Linked DNA regions of Callithrix jacchus. The protein of the gene in region 2 interacts with the protein of the main gene of each other region in a biochemical or structural test. Links are inferred from orthologs where the notes say so. Each region holds a gene or a part of one and is shown on either strand. Other genes may lie near its edges.

What was found.
Region 1: the proteins of RUFY1 (region 2) and RAB14 form a complex in vitro, tested with the Homo sapiens proteins (2 studies listed by BioGRID). The link is inferred for Callithrix jacchus from reciprocal best matches to the Homo sapiens genes RUFY1 and RAB14.

The regions. Positions count from the first base shown.
Region 1 is NC_133502.1:169,591,456-169,599,323, forward strand, and holds part of RAB14 (ras-related protein Rab-14), read right to left. Parts: intron 4,212-7,868; 5' UTR 4,205-4,211; coding exon 4,153-4,204; intron 2,854-4,152; coding exon 2,800-2,853; intron 1,068-2,799; coding exon 890-1,067; intron 1-889.
Region 2 is NC_133503.1:72,110,558-72,119,176, forward strand, and holds the start of RUFY1 (RUN and FYVE domain-containing protein 1), read right to left. Parts: upstream 4,286-8,619; 5' UTR 4,272-4,285; coding exon 3,974-4,271; intron 1-3,973. UniProt on the Homo sapiens protein: Activating adapter involved in cargo sorting from early/recycling endosomes. Regulates retrieval of proteins from endosomes to the trans-Golgi network through interaction with the dynein-dynactin complex.

The DNA.
Region 1 (7,868 bases), on a different chromosome or scaffold from region 2:
GCAAAGAATTTCTTACTGCAGAACTTCTGAGGGTCCTAATATGCTAATGCACATTATGACATATCAAGAGGAAACAGTATAGAACATTTTCTGAAAGGAAATATGGTTTAAACTCTAATTATCACTTGGTGCCACTCACCCATCTTTACCCCCAACAAAGAGAGTCCTATTGCTTTTGACTGGCACTTTACATCAACATGAAAGGTGATCTAGTCCATCTTCTAGTTTACAGTAGATAAGACAGTGCAGGGTCTAATCAAGTGGCACAGTTTTTCATGTTCTCCAAAGTCAAACTTTTACATACAGTACAGTTTTATTACTTTACATCGAGTGCTTTGGAATTCCAGAAACACTCATGTTGAAATAAATTTAAACATACTGTACATAGTATTTGAAGTCACTTCAATCCATTTTAAGACAAAAATAAATAAACAAATACATACATACATACTCACACACTTTCAGATGCAAGTGTAAAATTTTTTATAATCTGCCATGCTAGATTAGCAAAACTCTGCCTTGCCTTCTTTTGAGAGGTGTAAACTTTAACACTAGAGACTAAATAGAGTAACTCACAAGAGTTGCTTGCTTTCTACTTGAAAGAACATTTTACATAAAATATTATTTCTCCTCAAATCATTCAACTGAAGTTGCTTTTCAGAACTGTCTTCTTCTATTAGCTTTACACAACATCTCGCTAAATTTTTGTACAGTCATACCAACTTTCGTAAAAGAGTATCAATGTGTTATATCAAGTTTTACATGGTAACTTAGAGAAGAAACCATAAAAACCAAATAAGTTCATTTACAGTCATATTACAAACTTCAACAATGGCCAAAGTAGATTTATTTTTCCAGTATAAAGATTGAAAAATTATTAATCTCTTACCTAGTGATATCATAGACCATAAGAGCTCCTGCAGCTCCTCTGTAGTAGCTCCGTGTAACAGCCCTAAATCGCTCCTGTCCTGCCGTATCCCAAATCTGCAGTTTTATTTTTTGGCCACTAACTTCGATTATTCTTGTACCAAATTCGACACCAATTGTGTGAGGACAATCAGCCATAACTGTTAGGGAGGAAAAAAAGTAATAGCCCAATTTTCAGAAAACTTCAAATGAAGCCTAGAGTGGGGAAATCCACTAAATAAGCCAATTATTTACTAATACTTAAAGGCTATAAATAGACTTAAGCTACCACTGGAAAAAAAAAATTTAACAAAGACCTAGAAGTAAGAAGTCAGAGAAATGTGGCTGAACTAAAATCAGGGTCAGCAAACTTCTGGAAAGGACCAAGCAGAAAATATTTTAAGTTTTGTAGGTCAAAAGATCTTTGTCAAAAGCTATCAACTCTGCCACCGAGGCAGAAAAGCAGCCAGAGACAATATATAAAACAGGCATGGCTGTATCTCAGTAAATTTTATTCACAAAACAGGCAGTGACTGGGTCACTGGCCACAGTTTGCTGACCCCTCAACTAAAATAATTAGCTAAGTAAAAATAAGGATTTTAATAAACTCTTCACATTGTCAATATGATACCATTTAGCCTTCTTATAATCATTACCTATAACAGATCAATCAATGGTCTTAGGGCTCTTGGATTTGTTAGTCAAACAGATTCCTATCCCAGAAAATATCTATCTTGAAGAAAATCATCATGTTTTACATATATATACATATAATTTACAGACAGGGACTTGCTGTCACCCATCTTGGAATGCAGTGGTACAATCAGAGCTCACTGTAATCACGAACTTCTGGGCTCAAGCAAACCTCCCATGTAAGCCTCCCAAAGCGCTACTGGGATTACAGAAGTGAGCCACCACAGCTAGCTAGTAGATACTTCTTATAATACAAGTTATATATATTAGTTATATATGTCTACACCAATAGAACAAATTTACTAGTCCTTTCCTTATAATGAAGCCACTTAAAACCTAAACCCACTATTCTCCAGTACAAGGACATAGACCACTGGGCACTTCATAAAATGTTACATCAAACCTCTGTGGTAAGTAAGCAGCACAAAAATGTCAAATACTTTCAACTATACAGAAACGTTTTCAACTATATTTAGCATATCAGTTACAACAAATTGGCCCCTTCTATCACCCAAGAAAGAATAGAAAGAATTCCATTATAAGTATTTCAAATCTGTTATTTAACAAATGATACATGCTGCAAATTTCTCTTAATACAGAAAGTCAGAGAATAAAAAGGAGATTATGTTTGACATTTTTAATGTATTTTTAAAAACTTATTTTTTTTTTTTTGGGAGACGGAGTCTCGCTCTTGTTACCCAGGCTGGAGTGCAATGGCACGATCTCTGCTCACTGCAACCTCTGCCTCCTGGGTTCAGGCAATTCTCCCGCCTCAGCCTCCTGAGTAGCTGGGATTACAGGCACGTGCCACCATGCCCAGCTAATTTTTTGTATTTTTAGTAGAGATGGGGTTTCACCTTGTTGACCAGGATGGTCTCTATCTCTTGACCTTGTGATCCAACCGCCTCAGCCTCCCAAAGTGCTGGGATTACAGGCTTGAGCCACCGCACCCGGCCGTATTTTTAAAAACTTTTTAACATGAAGAAGTCAAAACAAGTGAATCAGATTATATAATGTGTATAAAAATCAACACTAAAATATGCTGGTATATTTCATTTTATCTGTACCCATTTAAAAAAAAGTGCAAATATAGGGAAAGGATATCTTTAAATACATGAAGTACACTGAAAATGACACTTTTTAAAAAGTAGAAATATGACAGTAAAGAAAACAATGTTTTACCTCCTGTATTCAACTTACATTTTTTTTCTGTAAATTGATGAAGCAAGCAAGATTTTCCTACTCCCATGTCCCCTGTTTAAAAAAAAAAAGTTTCAGGTGCCAATGACATTTCTTAATGTTATACAATGACTGCTATATTCCTTACCATATAACATCAGAAATTTCTGGGACACTTAACAAATTTTTATTTTTCTACTTTATAACAATTCAAAAGTTTTCACTGTGAAACACAAATGGACTATTATAATTCCCAATCTTTAGCAGTGAAAAAATCCGGTTATAAATTATAATTATTATGTTAATAACTAACCACGAGCTGGGAAGTGCTTTTTTTATTTTTTATTTTTGACACAGAGTCTCGCTGTTTCCAGGCTGGAGTGCAGTGGCGCAATCTTGGCTCACCGCAATCCCTTGCATCCCGGGTTCAAGCAATTCTCCTGCCTCAGCCTCCCAAGTAGCTAGGGCTACAGGAATGCACCATCATGCCCAGCTAATTTTGTATTTTTAGAAGAGACCTGTTGGCCAGGATGGTCTCAATCTCTTGACCTCATGATCCACCGCCTCGGCCTCCCAAAGTGCTGGGATTACAGGTGTGAGCCACCACGCCTGGTCTTGAAGTGCTTATTTTTTAATGGTATTTTTTACTTTGAGCTGTTTCAAAATTTTATTTTATTTTTCCTTTAACTCATGCACAGAAGCAAAAGATTCCAAAGAGTGACAAATGGGGTAGCATGTAACAAGCAGAAATAACAAACTGAGTTCTGGGAGTCTGATTCACTAGGTCCCTGTCTTAAACTTCTTTCAACAGTCTATGAAAGAAAAGAATCTGCATTACATGAATACCCCAGGAGAAAAGATGTCATCTCTGACTGTACTATAGCAATGTTAACCCTTGATCAAGGAAACATAAAGACACATTTAAGTTCAAAATTAAAGCAAATTGTTCACTGAAAAGCATGTGCACTTTCAAATGTAGTTTTATAATTATGTTTGGATAGATAGCATTAAGACAATTTGAGCAAAACCTTCTTGAAACTTAAGAAAAAAAATACCAATTAAGAGGAATACTATATTTTATGTATATTACACAACTGATTTGAAATGAAACAACATTCTCTATCAATTTTTGGAACCCAGGGGGATCTGAGAGCTTTCATAATATTTTGGGAAAAACACTGATACTTCCTAGCATTAACAAGTTTTGAAGCAGCCCTCAAGAACAACCAACATCACTTCACAAGGTACCCAGCACTTTATCAAAGAAGTATCCAGGGACACAGTGCAAAAGCTGCACTGCTAATGCAAAAATAAATAAATATTTTGTATGTTAACGTTCTTTCGGGAACAAGAGCATAGGTTAAATAAACTTACCAATAATAATATATTTAAAGATGTAAGAGTAGTTGTATGGTGCAGTTGCCATGGTGGCACTAAAAACAAAGAAATCTGTGTTATTTCAGAAGGAAAGTATATACAAGTTATTCAAATAGGTCACTGCTATCCTTTAAAGGTGGATAAAGGAGACTGAATATAAATAAATGTTGGTTACAGTAAGTCAGAATAAAATTGCATTTCACAATTTGATCTTGAATGAAAGATGCTTACACCATTCTCATGTGCTATCCACAGCAATATAAGAAACCATTTATACCAAAACTCCAATATTTCACTTTAGAAAATATCTAATAGTACTCTGAACAATTTCAAACAAAAAAAATCTTTATAAATTTAAGTTAAATATCACTGTAAATAGTCTCCTCTCCCCTTAAAGTCCCCTTCCCTGTTAACTGATCAAGTAAGTTACTAACGACCTACTTGTTCAGAACTCTGATTTTAAACAAAATGGAACCACTTAATAAATACAAAGCAACTTTTTTTACTCTACTTTAAATCAATAGTTAGCAGAGCATCCAAAGACAGCACAATCATATAATTTCCAAATCAAGGTTGGAACTAGATTAAATCATACAAAACTGTCCTTCCTATAGATTTTTCAAGTCAGTTTTGATTGGCAATTTCATATGGCTCAACAGGACTTGCAGATTAACACACACACACACACACACACTCACTCTTACACTTTCACTGTTGACCAGGCTGATCTTGAACTCCTGGCCTTTAGCAATCCTCCCATCTCAGTCTCCCAGAGTCCTAAGATTACAGGCATGAGCCACTGTGCCCGGCCAGAGTAACAATATAGTAAGTGCTTCCTATATACTATTCTAGGGACTGAGACAAATAAGGTCATAAAATTGTACTTACGGTTGAAAAATTTGAAAGCTTGGTATTAGAAGATATTTCAAAAAGATCACTGCCCATTTCTTACTCTCAAATAGACTTAACCTAAAGCATTCTAATTTCTCTCCTACAAAACAACAACAACAACAACAACAACAACGAAACTGTCCAACTTAATGAAATGAATGCCCTGAATGTTAAGACACTGGCTGGGTCCTAGAGAGAAAAAAGGGGATGAATTCTAAAACTGATAATAGCTTTCAATAAAGTTTATTCTCAAACCAGCTTTCAGCTTAAGACAAAAATTATTTATACATATGACGATTTAACCCCATTTTTAAAAATCTGACAGTATTTTTAAGTCTGGCTTTTAGTGTTTTTGTCAATGTCACATTACACAAGCCAGATACTTAACATGACTGGAGAAATTTATTTACTGAAATTATTACCTTACTATATTCCATATTTCAAGAAAAAATTCTCTATAATTAATTACATTTAACCTGTAGAAAGTATATTTAAAACAAGCAAATTATTATTATAAGGGAAGAGGAAGTTGTTAATTACAGTAAAGTATTAATCACTTCACACACTAGAGTCTTCTCACTTAGCTATCTGTATTACATTTAGCAAAAGTAGAAGCCTTGCTACCCATTCCAGTTTGGCATGTTGTAACACATTTATAATCAGTCTCCTACATCACAGAAAACTCCCTTAACCAGTTCTTTCAGGAAAGGGAGTTTTTCTAATTAGTTTAACTCTGATTCTGAACGTCACAACTTTATTCCCTTTTCCAGGCACTAGGGACTCAAAACTGTTAAGAATGAACTTGGTCCTGAGACTAAAATTGGTCTGGATTATTTACCGAATCTGAACCAGATGCCAAATATAAGGGGAAAAAATAATCTCTTACATTAATTTAAAGATTATTAACTTCTTAACCTGAATTCTTCCCAGACTCTTTTCTTCTAATCAATTTTGAATTCTTCTACATTCTTTCCCCATTCAAACCTGGGTAAAAGTAATCACTTAGTCACCCTCAAGTTACTGAATCTCCTGTGTGCTTCTCCTTAATGTTCCTAATTTCTTTCCCTCTTCTAACTAAAAGTTATAACTGTACATACTTTGCTCCTTCCATTTTATGTTAAAGCTATGACTTCTAATAATCCAAAATTTCTACTTCAAATGCTTTAAAGACTAATCATAAAATTATGACCCAATTTTAGTTGTACTAATTTGTATACTTGCTAATTATCATACATTCACATTAAATATGAAATAACTAATTTTGAAAATGTATTTTAAAATTATAAGCATTCATATAGTAGAAACTATTTCCAAATAAAAGAAATGATCACTATTTCAGATTGAATACAGCGCTCTGTCACACTTTTTTCTTGCTCAAATTTCTTAAAAAATTACAAAACCCATAAAAAGCAGAATTAAAGGAAAACAACTCAAACTTAACTGATTTCAGTAAACAAGAAAGGCAGAAAACATCTAACACTGTAGCCACCAACACTCACCACAGGTCTTTCCCTTTCTTATTCTAAGATACTGTCTAGGTTTAAATATATTCCCATTGTTTATCGATATTAATACATTCAGTCAAAAGTATCTGCAGTAGAATTATAATCAAATATTAAATATGCTTAAAGTTACTTTAACAAAAAAGATTTCTCAGTCTTATTTCTTGAACATAAAACATACCATTGCTAAGGTGAGAAATATATTTTTACTTAACTTTGGAAGGGAAAAAAGTTCTTCCCCTATTATTTAACAGTGCTTTTGCTTTACTTAGAGAATTCTTAAGTCTAAAAAAAAACAAGGACAAGAAATGTGGGTCTAGTTCAAACTCTTTGAAAACATGAGCCCACTTAACACTACAATCTCCATAAATTAAAAAAAAAATCTTGGTAATATTCTATAACTTGTATACAACTACCAGGACAATTAAAATTCACTTTATTTCACATTTCCCAAAAAGTATTTCAATCAAGTTTGTATGTAAATAAAATATCTTTATTGCCTTTAGGGGAAAAAAAAGTACTACATACTTAGACAACAGGCATTAAACACACAATCAACAATTTGCAAACTAATAACAAATACAATTGTTACAGTTAATATTTATTGGGTACTTGACATATGCCAGGCAGTGTGCTAAATATTTTACATGCAATTTCATTTAATCCTTACTACTGTCCCTATAACATAGTTAATTATTATCCTCATTTTACAGATGAGGAAACAGAATCAACAAGTAACATGCCCAGGTCACACAACCAAGTCTGTACTGAACCTAGGACAGTTTTGACTGTAGAGATCCCCTCTTAACCACTACACCATCCTGCCCTTTCTACCAACGTGCCTCCTCCACATGATTATGAGATCAAGCATCTCATCAAGCTCTGCAGTATTCACTCCCTTAATTCTAATTTCATATTTTGAATAAGATACATCAATTACATTGAGAGGATGCACCGGTCAGAATTTATAGATATAAATGAACGGTATACTAGCAATACTAATTTAAAATACTATAATTCATCTATTTAGAAAAAGTTTCTTAAGAGAACACTTGAGAACAAACCATGTAATGATCTAGACTACTTTTTCCTGTATTGTCCTATATAATCCTTATTGAATTCTCACAACTCTGCAGTCATTAAGTCCATGCAAAAAATTAAACAAACAGGTTTGGAGAAATTCACTAATTTGGCCAGTGTTCTAAAGTTTGTAAGTGGTAAACCTAGAACCTGAACCCAGGCCTGATTCCAAAGACCACGATTTTCTCATCTAAGGTAGCTTATTCTGGGCATGTACAGGTAGACTGATAAAATAAAAAT
Region 2 (8,619 bases):
CCAGTAATCCTAGCGCTTTGGGAGGCCGAGGCGGGTGGATCACAGGGTCAGGAGATCGAGACCATCCTCACTAACACAGTAAAAGTAAAACCCCATCTCTACTAAAAATACAAAAAAACAAACAAACAAAACAAAACCACAACAACTAGCTGGCCGTGGTGGCAGGTGCCTGTAGTCCCAGCTACTCTGGAGGCAAAGGTTGCAGCGAGCCAAGATTACACCACTGCACTCCAGCCTGGGCAACAGAGTGAGGCTCCGACTCAAAAAAAAAAAAAAATTCATGTTCGTTTATTACCTTAAAAAAGAATCCCCAAACCAAATAGGATAACTTGGACAATGCAATCACATGCCAGACCCCACATGGGACATTTTAAAACAAGTATTCAAAACATTCCACAGCATTTCCTTTAGCCTCTACCACTGACAAAAATGTTATGCAGCAAGAGTGCTGTTCACATTCAATATCTGCTCCTAAACTGCTCCTTCTGAAAGTCCTGCCTGTTTTCATTGCTGTGTAGGCAGATCAGCGGGGAAGAGATCATGAGTCAGTCTTGGGCCTGGCCCTGGTTGAAGTGGTGTCACTGTCTTTCTCCCAAACTGCTTTTCTTGGGCTGCTGCAGAGTGTGCTGTCCTTGGCCCTTCTTCGTTCCCTGTCTCTGCTCATGTCCTACCTGATGGCTTCAAATCCTGGTGACCTCTGGGACCAGCCACACTGCTCTACTCAGCAGTTCCCTGAATTTCATGCCTTTGTAAGCCATGGTCACAGTTTTTGCTAGATTGAGTGGCAGTTATTAATACTTACCTTAAATTAATTTTTTAAATCCATATGGTATATATACATTGACATTTTACACTTGGTGAAGTTACTTCTCTTTAATTTAGTTTACCTCTTTATAAAACAGGGATAATATTGGTACTCATCATTCAGTGCCATCTACATAATTTGCAAGGCCCAGTGCAAAATTCCAGGCCCGGAGTAAAGTGCAGAAGTCAGTATCCCCTTACCACAGCCCTAATGGATTGCAACTTCCCTGCAGGGATGCGACGAGTGAGAGGCCCCTGTCCACCTGCCTGCCTAATGTGCTGTGGTACCCACCACCCTGCCCTTAGATTCAGAAGGTGCAACCCCAGTGATGCCTGGGCAAGAGTAGGATCAGGGAGGGTAGGGAGAAGCCCCAGGGCAGCTCAAGTGGGTCAGCTGTGAGAACCTGTCCCATTGGACTGACTTCACTCAAAAGCCACAAATTCAAAAATAAAATTATTAAGAATTTCAAGCATGGGACACTTCTGAGTACCTGGCCCTTTTGACCACAGTGATCAAAGCCTGCACTGATCGTACACACATGAAGCTAGTCCCGCTATCACATCGGGTTGTTGTAAGGAATAAATGAATACTTGTACAGATTTAAGACTAATGCCTGGCCGAGGTGGGTGGATCACAAGGTCAAAAGATCGAGACCACCTTGGTCAACCTGGTGAAACCCCGTCTCTACTAAAAAAGATACAAAAAATTGGCTGGGCATGGTGGCGCGTGCCTGTAATCCCAGCTACTCAGGAGGCTGAGGCAGGAGAATTGCCTGAACCCAGGAGGCAGAGGTTGCAGTGAGCCGAGATTGTGCCATTGCACTCCGCCTGGGTAACAAGAGCAAAACTCCGTCTCAAAAAAAAAAAGACAAAAAAAAAAGACTAATGCCTGGCACCTTGGAAGGATAATATAAGTGGTGGCTGTTGTTTGTATCACTTCCATAGATGGAAAACAGGTATTTTTCAAATATGCATTTTTTTCAGCAAATACTTATTATTCTGTGCTACGTACAGACACATTTCATTTTATCTTTTTAATTTTTTTCCTTGATTCTGCATTAAAGGAAGGAAATTTTACTTATCAGGGAAGAACTAACATTTATTATTTGCTTACTCCTGCCATGAAAATCTAAGAGCCCCCAGAAGATGTCATGCCTGACTTTCAGTACTGACTGTCAATGAGTATGCAATCCAGCATCCACTGATGTGTGAAAAAGTCTTGGGAATAGGTGTCAAGCTAGTGGGAACCTGATTCCCGGGCTGCACAGAATCTCATCACCCTCTAATGCTACTTTCCACTGCCAGGATCTCAAAACGAGTCAGCCTTTTAACTTTATTAATTAATCATTCTTAACCACTGAAAATCTCACAATCACTACCTGAAGTAATCAGCTAAAGTACCAGTGGATGAGGAGGAATCAGAAACCTCAAGGGTGTGCTATGATGCTCCTTGGAAGGCACCACAGCCTTTCCTTGGCTCTGTCCCAGCATTTTCTACGAAGCTGGAAATTTTCTATGCTGCACTATCCCATATCAGTAGCCACTGGCCAGACAAAGGCCACCGAGTACTTAAAATGTGGCCGCTGTAATCCAGGCACTCAATTTTTATTCCAATTTAAAAGTATTCAATTCGGCCAGGCATGGTGGCTCACACCTGTAATCCCAGCACTTTGGGATGCCAAGGTGGGGGTGGGGGGGGTGGCCTAAGGTCGGGAGTTCGAGACCAGCCTGACTAACATGGAGAAACCTGTCTCTACTAAAGATACAAGTGTAGCCGGGCGACGGCCAGGTGCAGTGGCTCAAGCCTGTAATCCCAGCACTTTGGGAGGCCGAGGCAGGCAGATCACCTAAGGTCAGGAGTTCAAGACCAGCCTGGGCAAGATGGTGAAACCCCATCTCTACTAAAAATAGAAAAATTAGCCGACTGTGGGCATGTCTGTAGTCCCAGCTACTCAGGAGGCTGACGCAGGAGAACTGCTTGAACCCAGGAGGCTGAGGTTGCAGGGAGCTGAGATCAAGCCACTGCACTCTCGTCTGTGTGACAGAATGAGATTCTGTCTCCAAAAAAAAATTACCTGGGCATGGTGACGCATGCCTCTAATCCCAGCTACTCTGGAGCCTGAGGCAGGAGAATTGGTCGAGATCCCAACATTGTACTCCAGCCTGGGCAACAAGAGTGAAACTCCACCTCGGGAAAAAAAAATTGAGAGATGTAATTTTTCAATAGAATTTTAATCTTACATTTAAACTAAGTGTGCTGCTGGCCGGGCACAGTGGCTCACGCCTGTAATCCCAGCACTTTGGGAGGCTGAGGTGGATGGATCACGGTTAGAAGTTCAAGACCAGTCTGGCCAAGGTGGTGAAACCCCGTCTCCACTAAAAACACAAAAAAATTAGCCGGGCGTGGTAGTGGGCACCTGTAATCCCAGCTACTTGGGAGGCTGATGCAGAGACCGCTTGAACCCGGGAGGCAGAAGTTGTAGTGAGCCGAGACCGCGCTACTGCACTCCAGCCTGGCTGACAGATCGAGACTCTGTCTCGAAAACAAACAAAAAAAACACAAAAACCCAACAATAACAAAACAAACAAAACATATACGTGCTGCTGTATTGGACATCACAGCTCTGGATGCCTGGAGTTAGAGGGCTAAATCAAAATCTTACTGTCACTGATATGCTGGCACTCTATTCATTACAGGGGCTGAAAACGTCTTTAAGAGATCATCGGGTGACTTTAAAATCCCCATCTCACAGCCAGAGGTGAGCGGAGGTACGGCTGGTGAACCGAGGCACTGCTGGGTCCGCTGCGCACAGGGCCCACACCCTCACCGCACCGAGTGGTTGAAAAGCAGAAGAGTGCCAGCTCCGTTTCGTGTGTGGAGTTACTACAGAGTCCCGGAGCCTGCACGCGCACAGGTCCTTCATCTAATTAGTGGGTGAGTATAGAAGCGCGGGTGCGGGAGCGCGCTCAGGTACGCGGGGCTGCAGGGGTGCGGTCTCGGCTTAACCGCCAGGGTAAAGACCCACGCACAGCCAGGCGCCGCCCGCCGACCAACAGCTCCCGTAACCTGCCGGGCAGGCCGTGCCCTCCAAGCCTGGTCCCCACCGCGCCCGCGCCGGCGGCCAGCGGGGACACGCGGGTCCGCGGGACAGACCTGGCCCAAGCCTACCTGCGCGCGCCGCGCCGTCCCCGTCGTCCCCGCCGCCCAGCCCCGTGGCCGCGCGCAGCGCGCTCCCGCAGCCCGCCGAGAGGTTCCCCGTGGCCCTGCGGGCCAGGGTCAGGATGGGCGCGGACCAGCTCTCCGCCTCCCGCCGCCTCGATGCGTTAGGCAGGTCGCCGGGGCAAGGCAGCTGGCTTCGATCCACAACTTCGAACTCTTCTTCCGGCTCGAGCTCTGACCCGGGCGCCAGCTGCGGCCCGGGCTCCGGCTCCAAACTCACATGGCAGCCTCTTACCCGGTCGGCCATCTTGGCCGTGTCACGTGACCCAGCGGGCGAGCGGGCGCGGCTGGGCACCGCCTTTCTCTTTGGTTTGCCGGATTCGACTTCCTCACTGCCAAGCCTTCCTTCCGCTTCAAGAGGTTCGGTAAAGTCCAAATCATAACGTAAGAAGTGCATGCATTCCTGGCCGCCGGCGGGACCTGTTCGCGGGAAGTTCTTCTTGAACTTTCTCCCAGGACCGTTGTGCACCCTGCCTGGCGCTTCACGGGGTCCCCTGGCCTTCGTTTTCCTTGTGACACCATTTCCTCTTTTAAATTTTCATTTTATGTTCTGTATTTTCACTTCGTCGTTTTTCTGCGGCACTCATGAGAACAGGCCCTGAAAGGGCGACTAAGGAAACGCACAGGCGAGGCAGGAAAGCAGGAATTTCTTTTTTTAATCGAATGACTACGACGGCTTGGCAGGAAAGAGTGCACCATAGTGCACTGGAAATCAGAGCTGGCTTCTCCTATTAATTAGTTAAGTGGGATAACAAAAAGCTGACCTCATTATTAAATAAGATTTGCAACCGGGCACGGTGGCTCATCCCTGTAATCCCAGCACTTTAGGAGGCTGAGGCAGGCTCCCAAAATCGCTTGAACCTGGGAGGCGGAGGTTGCGGTAAGCCAACATCTGGCCATTGCACTCAAGGCTGGGCAACAAGAGTGAAACTTCGTGTGTGTATGTGTGTGTGTCTGTCTGTCTGTCTGCCTCTCTGTCTCTGTCTCCCTCTCCCCCTCCCCCCTCTTTTTCTCTCTTCCCCCGCAACACACACGAACGAGATTTGCAGTAAGGACCACATGGCAGATGTTAGCGATTGTCACTAACTACAGTATACAACTATGTGGCCTGTGTAAGTCACTATACACTTGGACAGAGTTATTCAATCTGTTTCTTCACTTGGAAAAGAAGAGAATTTCACTAAATGCAGAGTAAAATTTTGACCAGGCGCGGTGGCTCACGCCTGTAATTCTAATACCTTGGGACGCCGAGGCAGGCAGATCATGAGCTCGAGAGATTGAGACTGTTGGAGTCCGGCATGTCTGCCGAGGGGCTGCCGACCTGCGGGAGTCCGCGAGACCGCCAACTAAATGTCTCGTTCAACCTGAGGGAGAGAGTGCGCGGAAGGGAAAGAAAAGAGAAAAGCGGGGTCTGGAGGGCTTGCTTAGGCTATGTCCAAGCAGCAATTTTATTTTTGCAATACGTTTCATTATATACTTTTCTGAAGTCAAAGTTGTTTATGCTAGATCAATGTACTTAAGTTACAGTAAGCAAGTTACACCCTCTAAGTTACGCCCAGTAAGTAAGTTAAGTCCAGTAAGTAGGTTACGCCCAGTAAGTAGGTTACACCCAATAGGTCAAGGTAAGTAAGTTACAGTCAAGCCCAGTAAGTTATGGTAAGTAAGTTACAGTTACACCCAGTAAGTTATGATAAGTAAGTTACCAAGTGTAAATACTTAAGTTAATATTTTACAATGAAGGTAACAAGGGTCCAAAATGGACACAATCAAGCAATAAACCATAAGAAGCCGAAAGTAGACACAATGCTTCCCATGTCCTCATATCCATAAAGTAATGTCTGTTAATTATTTTGAATAACGTAGTCCCTCTCTCAGTTCCTGCTTTCCCTCAGCTCGACTCCCCCAACCAGGGATCTGTGTCCGGGCTCAAGCTCACCGTATGTTGAGGCCCATTTCCTAGGGGCCTCACACGGAAGCAATCCCCACACGAGACCATCCTGGCCAACATGGTGAAACCCTGTCTCTACTAAAAATACAAAAATTAGCTGGGCATGGTGGTGCGTGCCTGTAGCCCCAGCTACTGGGGAGGCTAAGGCAGGAGAAACGCTTGAACCTGGAAGGCGGAGGTTGCAGTGAGCCAAGATCGCGCTATTGCACTCCTGCCTGGCAACAGAGACTGTCTCAAAAAACAACTTTTTTTTTCCGATTGTGCGGGGTAGCGCACACCTTTAATCTCAGCACTTTGGAAGGCTGAGGAAGGTGGATCACTTGACACCAAGAGTTCAGACCAGCTTGGCCAACATAGTGAAACCCCATATCTACTAAAATACCAATAATAATAATAATTAGCTGGCTCCGGTGGCGGGGCAGCTGTACTCCCAGCTCCTTGTGGGGCTGAGGGTGGAAGGTTTGCTTGAGCCCGGGAGGTCGAGCCTATGGTGAGTGGAGGTCATGGCCACTGTACTCCAGCCTGGGCGACAGAGTGGGACCCTGTCTCAAAAAAACACAAAAAGTTCACTAGCACTTAACACTTTGCAAAGTGAGGCAACATGAGCCACACCAAACCAGCAGAACTGTTTTGTTTGGTTCCCAGAATATTTAAAAATCTTTAAAAGTTGTTGCCAATATTGAGAAATCAAACGATTTCACATAGAATCTGCATTTTAGCTTTCCCTGGAATCACTAGAAGATTTGGTAATTCATGGTATATTCCCTGATGGCACCAAACAATTGGGAGTGAACTGTGTTGCCTCTTTAGAAGCCCAGCTGCTCCCTGGACCTGTTTTGGTCCAGCCCACAGCACTAGTTTTTGTGATATGTCTGGTCCCTAAAGGCCAGTTCATATGGGAGTGTTTTGGGAATTTGTGGAGTTGGTGTTTGAGTTGTATAAAGATTGAGGGCATCCTTCTAGTGTTTACTGGGTGTGGGTAGACAGGGATGAAAATCGTCTAGAATAACAGAATTGTCCTGAATCCTTCCTGACTTTCCAATGCTGCTGGACATTTATGTAGGTGAAAAGCTTGTTTATAATGATCAGAGCCTGGAACTGAATTTCATTTTGCAGAAAAACATAAACTCTTTTTGCACAGAACAGTTTCAATATTTATCAGGCAAGGTTACAAGTAACCTTCAGTAACAAGTAACCCTCAAATCTCAATGGCTTAACCTAAAAGTTCATTTCCCATTGTGCTACATGTCAATGTAGATGGGGTGAGTACTCTGCCCCAACTCATAGTAGTCTCTCAGGCCCTGTTCGGAGTTTTGCATAAACATTACCTGCACTAGCCTTGAATGACAAATCACATGGCCACGTTTAATTTCTAGGGAGTTGGGAAGTTTAGACCTACTTCTGTCTAGAAAAAGCAGAACTGGAAATCTTTGTGAGCAGTGTAACGATTACTGTAAGTGTACCCTAAATTTTCCTGGAATGTAGCTAAATTGATTTGTTCAGAACTACACTTGCAAATGTCTGGCTATGTTATTTCAGTGGTAGTTGTGCCTCATTTATATATTGAAATACATCTCTTTTTTTTTTTTTGAGTCAGAGTCTTGCTCTGTTGCCCAGGCTGGAGTGCAGTGGCGTTATCTTGGCTCACTGCAACCTCCACCTCCCGGGTTCAAGCGATTCTCCTGCCTCAGCCTCCTGAGTAGCTGGAACTACAGGCAAGCCATCGTGACCAGCTAATTTTTGTTTTTTTTTTTTTAGTAGAGATGGGGTTTCACTGTGCTGGCCAGGCTGGTCTCAAATTCCTGACCTTGTGATCTGCCCACCTCAGCCTCCCCAAGTGCTAGGATTTACAGGCATGAGCCACTGCGTCCGGCCCATCTTATGGTGCTTCGCTTTATTTCTTTTTTAACAAATTAAAGTTTTGTGGTGGCCGGGAACGGTGGCTCATGCCTGTAATCCCAGCACTTTGAAAGACTGAGGTGGCCAATCAGTTGAGGCCAGGAGTTCGAGACCAGCCTGGCCAACATGGTGAAACCCTGTCTTTATTTAAAATACAGAAATTAGCCAGGCACCATGGTGTGCCTGTATTCTCACCTACTTGGGAAGCTGTGGCATGAGAATCACTTGAACCCAGGAAACAAAGGTTGCAGTGAGCTGAGATTGTGCCATTGCACTCCAGCCTTGGCAACAGAGCAAGACTCTGTCTCAAAAAAGAAAAAAGTCCAGGTAGGGTGGCTCATGCCTATAATCTGAGCACTTTGGGAGGCTGAGGTGGGTGGATCACTTGAAGTCAGGGGTTCGAGACCAGCATAACCAACATGGTGAAACACTCTCTGTTAAAAATACAAAAATCAGCTGGGCTTGGTGGTAGGCCATGTAATCCCAGTTGCTCTGGGTGTGAGTCAGGAGAATCGCTTGAACCCGGGAGGTGGAGATTGCAGTTAACTGAACTTGAGCCACTACACTCCAGCCTGGGCAACAGAGCAAGACTCCATTGCGTAAAAAAAAAAAAAAGTGAAACAGCCTTATTTCTGACATGGAGGAAGTTTTGGTGATCTGAATAGATCAACCACAACATTCCCCTAAGTCAAAGTGTAATCCAGAGCAAGGCCCTCAACATCAAGGCAACCCTCAACCAGCAAGAAGA